2 linked regions of the Mus musculus genome follow. Each later gene encodes a partner of the first gene's protein in a complex. Links are inferred from orthologs where the notes say so. Each region holds a gene or a part of one and is shown on either strand. Other genes may lie near its edges.

What was found.
Region 2: the proteins of Lrrc7 (region 1) and Camk2a are in contact, whole or in part, in a crystal structure (PDB 6X5G), measured with the Homo sapiens proteins. The link is inferred for Mus musculus from reciprocal best matches to the Homo sapiens genes LRRC7 and CAMK2A. Residues at the interface, in NP_001357714.1 of Homo sapiens: His843, Gly844, Arg845, Arg846, Pro847, Leu848, Ile849, Arg850, Gln851, Asp852, Arg853, Ile854, Val855; in NP_001350919.1 of Homo sapiens: Glu96, Phe98, Glu99, Ile101, Val102, Lys137, Glu139, Leu159, Phe173, Ala174, Gly175, Thr176, Pro177, Gly178, Tyr179, Leu180, Ile205, Gly209, Tyr210, Pro211, Pro212, Phe213, Trp214, Tyr222, Gln224, Pro233, Glu236.

Annotation. Positions count from the first base shown.
Region 1 is NC_000069.6:158,163,252-158,167,069, reverse strand, and holds part of Lrrc7 (leucine-rich repeat-containing protein 7), read left to right. Parts: intron 1-2,683; coding exon 2,684-2,795; intron 2,796-2,997; coding exon 2,998-3,178; intron 3,179-3,818.
Region 2 is NC_000084.6:60,924,928-60,928,746, forward strand, and holds the start of Camk2a (calcium/calmodulin-dependent protein kinase type II subunit alpha), read left to right. Parts: upstream 1-704; 5' UTR 705-851; coding exon 852-913; intron 914-3,819. UniProt on the Homo sapiens protein: Calcium/calmodulin-dependent protein kinase that functions autonomously after Ca(2+)/calmodulin-binding and autophosphorylation, and is involved in various processes, such as synaptic plasticity, neurotransmitter release and long-term potentiation.

The sequences.
Region 1 (3,818 bases):
CTCATGGAAAGCCAGGTGAGTTTCTGAGGTTTTGTTGAATTGATTCGTCCTTGTTGGCTGCTTTGTGTAACCACTCTTCACCTGTGCATTGAAGAAATTCCTTGCGTATTATCTACATATCTTTTTTAGATAGGTAGCCCTCTGTTTCTCAGTAATTTTTGTTATTCTTCTAGACTCTTACCTTGGGACTCTCTTTCTCCATGTTACTAAGAGCCAAGATTCTATTTAAATAAAGGAAGGGTGGTGGAACTAAGAGAGAAAGGACATTTCACCTTTCCTCCCTCTACTTCATTCTCAACCAGAGACAGATTTAGATGAACTTCTTCTGATGAACCATTTAGAAAAGTTGATTGCTTTACAACCATGGAGGCAGCCTCGAAACTTTGCTTTCCTCAGCTTTGAACAGGGTCAGAAACTCATATCCTAGTTGGGCCATGCAGAGCCCTGGTCACAAATTTTAAAAACTGACGCATAGGAGCAAAATATGTTAAATACTGAATTGTAGAACATGAGGTAAAAGAAGTAATGTCAACAGTCTGTGTTGATATGACTGCTTGATTTTGTTCTTGTATCTCATTTTATTTTCATTTTGCTATTTATTAAAAGAAGAAACTCTTTGATTTGTATTAGGTGTCATCTAAAAATGCCTCCTTCCCAAGTTGTTTCATACAAATAAGTTACCTTTACCTTCATAGACTAGACAGACATTAGCACTAATTCTATTACCTACCACCTTCATCTGATGAATGTGTTGGATGCAGGTCTGAGAATGCTTCACCTTGCCCAAGGTGCCTGATTAATAAGTGATGAGGCAGAAACAGGACAGAGAAACAGTACCCTGTGATTGACAGGCCAGCATGTCTTGGTCCTTGCACAGAAGTGCTTCTCCAGCTTGCATCTTCTTATTAATTCCTCCCAAGTCATACACATGCTTTTACTCTTTATTATACCAACTTAAAATTTTACTGTGCATTTGTTGTGCTGAACTTAGAAATTCCATGGAAATTCATATTTCTCTCTTCAGCCCTAGGCTTTTCATCACCCTTTTTCTCCTAGGATCTCTTTTGAATCAGATCATTTGCTTTAGGTCCCTGATACAGGGGGTCTCATTGGGAGCCTCACTCTGGAGTGGGGACTAGCTGTGTGGGAACCCAAGAGGACCACATTGAGAACCGCTGAGTCTTTCTTAAGTGTTTTTCTGTGCCCCAGGTCCAGGGAAAGAGTTGAACTAATTGATAGGATCATCTTCATCTTGAAATATAATTCTTTTAAAATTGATTAGTATCAGTCAGATGTTGGTTTTTCATAAGAAAATATTCTCATACACTGTCAAAAACAAGTTCAAACAAAAAAGTTTCAGTCAAGAATTAAAGAAATGGATGTGTTTTTTCTGAAAGACCAGAAACCTATAGCCTGTTCCTTTGAGTGTTTCTGCCCATTTATTACACCAACCAAACACTAGACAAATCTTTCCAAATTCCTACTTTATCTAAGTGTATCCTTCTCCAATTCAAGAAAACATCTCTACTTGTGTTGGTTCAGTGCTCCAAATTAACAAACACACACAAACAAACAAACACACAAACAAAACCTTGAATGTTCTTTGAATTCAAATTATCATAAAGAAGTTAAAAGACACAGCTGTGTGTATAGAAAGTGGAGATTTAAATTTTAGCTTTCTTAATGTTCTCCTGATACCTGTTTAATTGGAAATGATCTGAATTCTAGAAATTAAAACTCATGGAATTTATACACTGATGAGACAACTCAATGGCTGAGAACTCTGGTTGCTTTTGCAGAGGACCCAAGTTCATCAGCACCCACAGTGTTAAACTCCAGTTCCAGGAAATCTAATGCCCTCTTCTGGCCTCCACAGGAATTGTATACAAATAGTGCATTTATGTACATGCAGGCAAACCACTAACACATAAAATGAAATAAATCAAGAGGGGGGATTTCAAAGCTTCTGGAACTTTTATATTGTTCATTTTTTATAAAGTCATATTCTTGCACCACTGCCATTTATCACATTCAACATTCAATATGCAATGAAGATTAAATAGGTTGAAAATGGCCATGAGAATGCTAACAACCCAGGAAGGAGAAACAGCAGACACACAGTGACTGCCGACAGCCACCTGAGACACAGCAGGGATTGAAAAGCAGAGGCAAGGGCTGCAGGAGTGCAGGGGTGCAGGACTACTGGGATATTGTAATGGGGTAGAACAAAGATCCTACTGGTCAGCAATGCCCTTCCTACTTGGAACTCATGGGAGTTCGGCCTCTAGAATTCTCACATCCAATATCTATGACTGAGCCACACTGCCTGTGGAGGGCGCAGCATAATTCAATGCCGTGTTGAAATGAGTTCTGTTCCATCTCAATTAGATTGGAAATTCCCAGAGGACCATGTTGTATCTTTCTGGGAAACCTCCACAGTTCTTTGCACAGTGCCAGGCATACAAATTGCATCCAAAAACACATCTAATGAATAAATGGGCTCATATAAATTAGAAAAATAATTAGTGCTCAATTACAGACACAGAGGTTATTTTGCAATGCCCCGTGGTGAATTAAAGTCTAGGGCCGCATCTTTGAGTCTGAGCCAAATAAGATATTGCCATCTTGGTTAACCGTTATTTAAATGTTTACTTTCCTTGTCCTGTATTATTATATCTCTCAGGATTCTTTTGTTCATCCAGCTAATGAAATGAGGATTGGGGAACTTCACCCTTCATTAGCTGAGACCCCTCTGTACCCACCCAAACTTGTTCTGCTAGGGAAGGACAAAAAAGGTAACATCGTGAAGCCGATGTGGAACTGTGCCCGATGCATGTGCATGATAAATCGCCACTTATACATTATGACATGCCATAGTCTATAAGTACTCGCACACGTGTGCTTCTGACATTAATCCATATGGAATCTGCTTTTCATACATCTTTTGTATCCGTCAGTGTTCGTAGCATTGTAACATGTTTCCCCTTTAAATTTCAGAATCAACTGATGAGTCTGAAGTTGACAAAACTCACTGTCTGAATAACAGTGTCTCCTCAGGCACCTACTCAGACTACTCGCCCTCCCAAGCTTCCTCGGCATCCTCTAACACCCGGATGAAAGTGGGGTCCTTGCAGGCAACAGCTAAAGATGCCGTCCATAACTCTTTGTGGGGTAACAGGTGTGTTGAGAATTTCCCCTTCTGGGTTCCCAAATGTTCGTTGTCAGCAATTTTGACAAAGTGGAATCTGCTTTATGTTGGAATTGTGTTTGGCATGTGAGTTGCACAGAACACAGAATATGCAGGTAAGCATGTGGGCTCACCTGGGACTTTGGAGGGCATCAAAACCAACTTCCAGGGCCTGGCATCCATGCAAGGCCAGTGGGAAGAGGCTATGGGAAGTCACAGTGGGAACTAAAAGCTTGAAAGTGAAAATTTGTGTTTGACCATCCCTAATATATATATATATATATATATAATTATAAGTATGTATAACTCAGCATTATTAGCAAATGAATTCACATACTCTGGAAAAACAGGCATGCTGGAAGTGGCCACTGGCTCAAATGTGCTACTAGCCCCAAGCATAGTACAGTCAATATGATAGACAATCCCTTGATATAGGCCAATAGAATTCTATAGGCCAATAGAAGACTATGAAATCGTGAGAAGAAGGAAGAGATCTTAAGGGAGGAGGAAAGAGAAAGCAACAGCACACGTGACAAGAAGTGAAAGGGAACACTTAGGGAAGAAGAGTAAAGGAGAGGACCGAATTAGAACAAAGTCTAATAGCACCCAAATCTGAAGATGCTTTTTATGC
Region 2 (3,819 bases), on another chromosome or scaffold:
CATTCTGGGTCTGTTTGGTACTTCTTCTCACGATAAGGTGGCGGTGTGATATGCACAATGGCTAAAAAGCAGGGAGAGCTGGAAAGAAACAAGGACAGAGACAGAGGCCAAGTCAACCAGACCAATTCCCAGAGGAAGCAAAGAAACCATTACAGAGACTACAAGGGGGAAGGGAAGGAGAGATGAATTAGCTTCCCCTGTAAACCTTAGAACCCAGCTGTTGCCAGGGCAACGGGGCAATACCTGTCTCTTCAGAGGAGATGAAGTTGCCAGGGTAACTACATCCTGTCTTTCTCAAGGACCATCCCAGAATGTGGCACCCACTAGCCGTTACCATAGCAACTGCCTCTTTGCCCCACTTAATCCCATCCCGTCTGTTAAAAGGGCCCTATAGTTGGAGGTGGGGGAGGTAGGAAGAGCGATGATCACTTGTGGACTAAGTTTGTTCGCATCCCCTTCTCCAACCCCCTCAGTACATCACCCTGGGGGAACAGGGTCCACTTGCTCCTGGGCCCACACAGTCCTGCAGTATTGTGTATATAAGGCCAGGGCAAAGAGGAGCAGGTTTTAAAGTGAAAGGCAGGCAGGTGTTGGGGAGGCAGTTACCGGGGCAACGGGAACAGGGCGTTTCGGAGGTGGTTGCCATGGGGACCTGGATGCTGACGAAGGCTCGCGAGGCTGTGAGCAGCCACAGTGCCCTGCTCAGAAGCCCCAAGCTCGTCAGTCAAGCCGGTTCTCCGTTTGCACTCAGGAGCACGGGCAGGCGAGTGGCCCCTAGTTCTGGGGGCAGCGCTTCAGCATCCCAGCCCTAGTTCCCAGCCTAAAGCCTCGCCTGCCTGCCCAGTGCCAGGATGGCTACCATCACCTGCACCCGATTCACAGAAGAGTACCAGCTCTTTGAGGAACTGGGAAAGTGAGTCACACCTCAGGGAGTCCTAGAGAGCATGGGGATCAGTCTCCTTGGGCAGGGGGAGGGGGCGTGTGCCTATGTGGCCAGAGCTGTCCCGTGCATGCAGAGGGAGGTGTGCAGCATGATTTGGAAGCACTGTGTATGCATAGGGTGTCCAGAGTTAGGCGCTGACACATTTATGAGTCCAGTCAGCCTGGTGTGTGTGTGTGTGTGTGTGTGTGTGATGGAAAGGAAACAGATTGGTGGTGTATGCACACACCTATGCATATAAATACACATGACCTGGGTTCACAAAGATATCTAGAAACTTGGGGTTTGAAAGGGATTTTCCCACTTGGCTGGATCTGAGCTGGAATCTATTTTTGTAGTTGTACTTAGAAACCTCCAATGACAAAGAAAGTTTGCCACCCCCTGACCTGGAGATCTTGTCTTTAGACACTGTGCAGAGTGGCTAGCTTTCTCCTAGCACATCCCCTCCGGCTTCCCCAGATACCTTCCGGGAGCAACAGCTTCAGTACAGAAGGAGTTAATATAAAGCAATCACAGTGTTGGGAGGAGGGGAAGGACAGTCAGCCAGCCGGGGGGTGCCACTGTGGCACTGACTATACAAAACAACTGTGGTCCTTTGGCAAAGTTGCCCATCGTGTTATATCTCAGGAGGCTGAGAGGAGAAAGGTTCCCTCCAGAAGAGCAGCAGGCTACAGATATAAGAGAAGGTTTCTAGATGTTCCCAGCTAGGTTATGGGGTCCTGGGTTGGATCAGGAGTTGGGGGAGCAGTTTGGCAGAGTGCCCCACGGATGCATACGTGCTCCTACCAGTCCTGTTTGGTTCCTGCTGTAGCGCAGTAACATGAGACAAGGGGCCCTGTGAGCAGATGTGTCAGTGTGAGCTCCTGCAGGTACACAGATATTGAGGAGAGACTATATATGAAATCTGTGTGTGTGGGGGGGAACAAATGGAGTTGTGTAAGAACTGACACTGGGCACACTGCAAACTGAAAGGGCAAACACTGGTGCAAGTAAAACAAGAAGAGATGTGTGTGTCATTTGCATGGCAAGCCCGCCCCCCTCCAAAAAATGTTCATGCGCCCTGCAAGGGTGCATGTGTGCAATTATGCAAGGGTTGTTCTTGGCTAGGTGATGTTGCAGCAAGGGTATGGACATGCATCTGTGTGCACATGTGTGGCAGGTCAGAGATGGATACTCTCAGTGAATGTGTGTGTGTGTGTGTGTGTGTGTGTGTGTGTGTGTGTGTGTGCGTGCGCGCGCGCGCATGTGTAAGGTCACAGATGTGAAATGTGAACAGAATGTTCTTGAGTGTGCATGTATCTTGGGGACTATGTAAAGGAAGCTGTGTGTGTGTGTGTGTGTGTGTGTGTGTGTGCGCGCGCGCGCATGTGTAAGGTCACAGATGTGAAATGTGAACAGAATGTTCTTGAGTGTGCATGTATCTTGGGGACTATGTAAAGGAAGCTGTGTGTGTGTGTGTGTGTGTGTGTGTGTGTGTGTGGCCTAGGCTCATGGGCTCATGTGGGTGTGTGGGTGTTGTAGGCATGTGTGAGCTTATGCTGGTGTCTGCATATGTGTGGGAGGTGGACCTATGGCTGTGTATAAGCACAGCCCCTGAACACACTCACACAGAGAGAGAGAGAGAGAGAGACAGAGACAGAGACAGAGAGACAGAGAGAGAGACAGATGGAGAGACAGAGAGGGATAGAGAGACAGAGACAGCTCCCTTGTGCAAATGTGTATTCATATTTGTCTACAGACTTTCTGCTGTTCTGCGTGTCTTTGCGTTGGAGGCAGGGGTAGGGGCAGGAATGTAGTTTTTAGGGTGGCTCAGGAGAACTGTCTTTTAAAGTTTATCTGGGACCCCTTTCCAGAGCATGTCTAGTGTTCCCTTGGAACCTAAGGATTTCTTGAATAGTCAGGAGCTGCCTTTCAGGGGCCACTGAGGCTGGTTCAGGCAAGACTGCGTCACAGAGCGCAGTGGAAGGAATTAAGATGGGACTTCAGGGATCACAGTGACAGTAAACTGCTCTTTTGCCCTGAGAAGAAATGGGGATCATTAGAACTAGGCTCTGTGGGCTGACTTTGCCTTCTCAGCCCCCCCCCCCCGCCTTCTTGGATACTCAGAGGTGTCAGAGAAGGGGCAGAGGAAAACTGAGGGTGGCAGGGACGCCTGGGTCTTGTTCAATCAATTACAGATCTCCTCCTTCCAGAACTATTGGTGCTTTTAACCTTTTTTTAGGTCACTTATTCCTCCAGGATTCAGATGAAAGTCTAAATAGATATTCCCTAGAAAAACGTATAAGCCTACAAAATGTTGCTTGCAGTGTCAGAGCTTGTGGGACCTCAGGAAACAGTGCACCAACCTGTGCTTGAAGATGCTTGGGTGAAGGAGAAGGGGCTGTGGTGGGCCGGCTTCTGTCTGGTGTGTCCGTGTGACACAGGCCAGGGTACCCTATGAAGGATGAGCCCTGTGGCTTTTGCTCTGCACCTTAGCCTTGGCCTGAGCATCTGGTGGGGTAGGGAGGGGCTGCCCTACATGACCCTTAGCTCTGTGACACTGGGCAGGCTGCCACTCTTTCTGACCTGCAAGCTGGAGATTTAGAAGACTGGGAGGAGTATGTAGATGGCATGTGAAGACACAGCCTCAAGCCTGACACGCAGTAGGCATTTGGCAGGACGTTGCTGCTGGGGTGGCTGTTGTCCTCAAGGATTGGGCCAGCCTTTAGGAGGAAACAGGGCCTTCTCAATGTTTATCTTTTGTTTAGGGAATGTTGTTCAAGGTCTCCCTGGGCTCCTCTTCCTTGAGGGAAGCAATGAAGAAGTGTTTCTGTAGAGTTTACCCTTTAGTTGATGATCTTGTGTCTTCTAGCTAGGACACTGTATGAATACCTAGACAC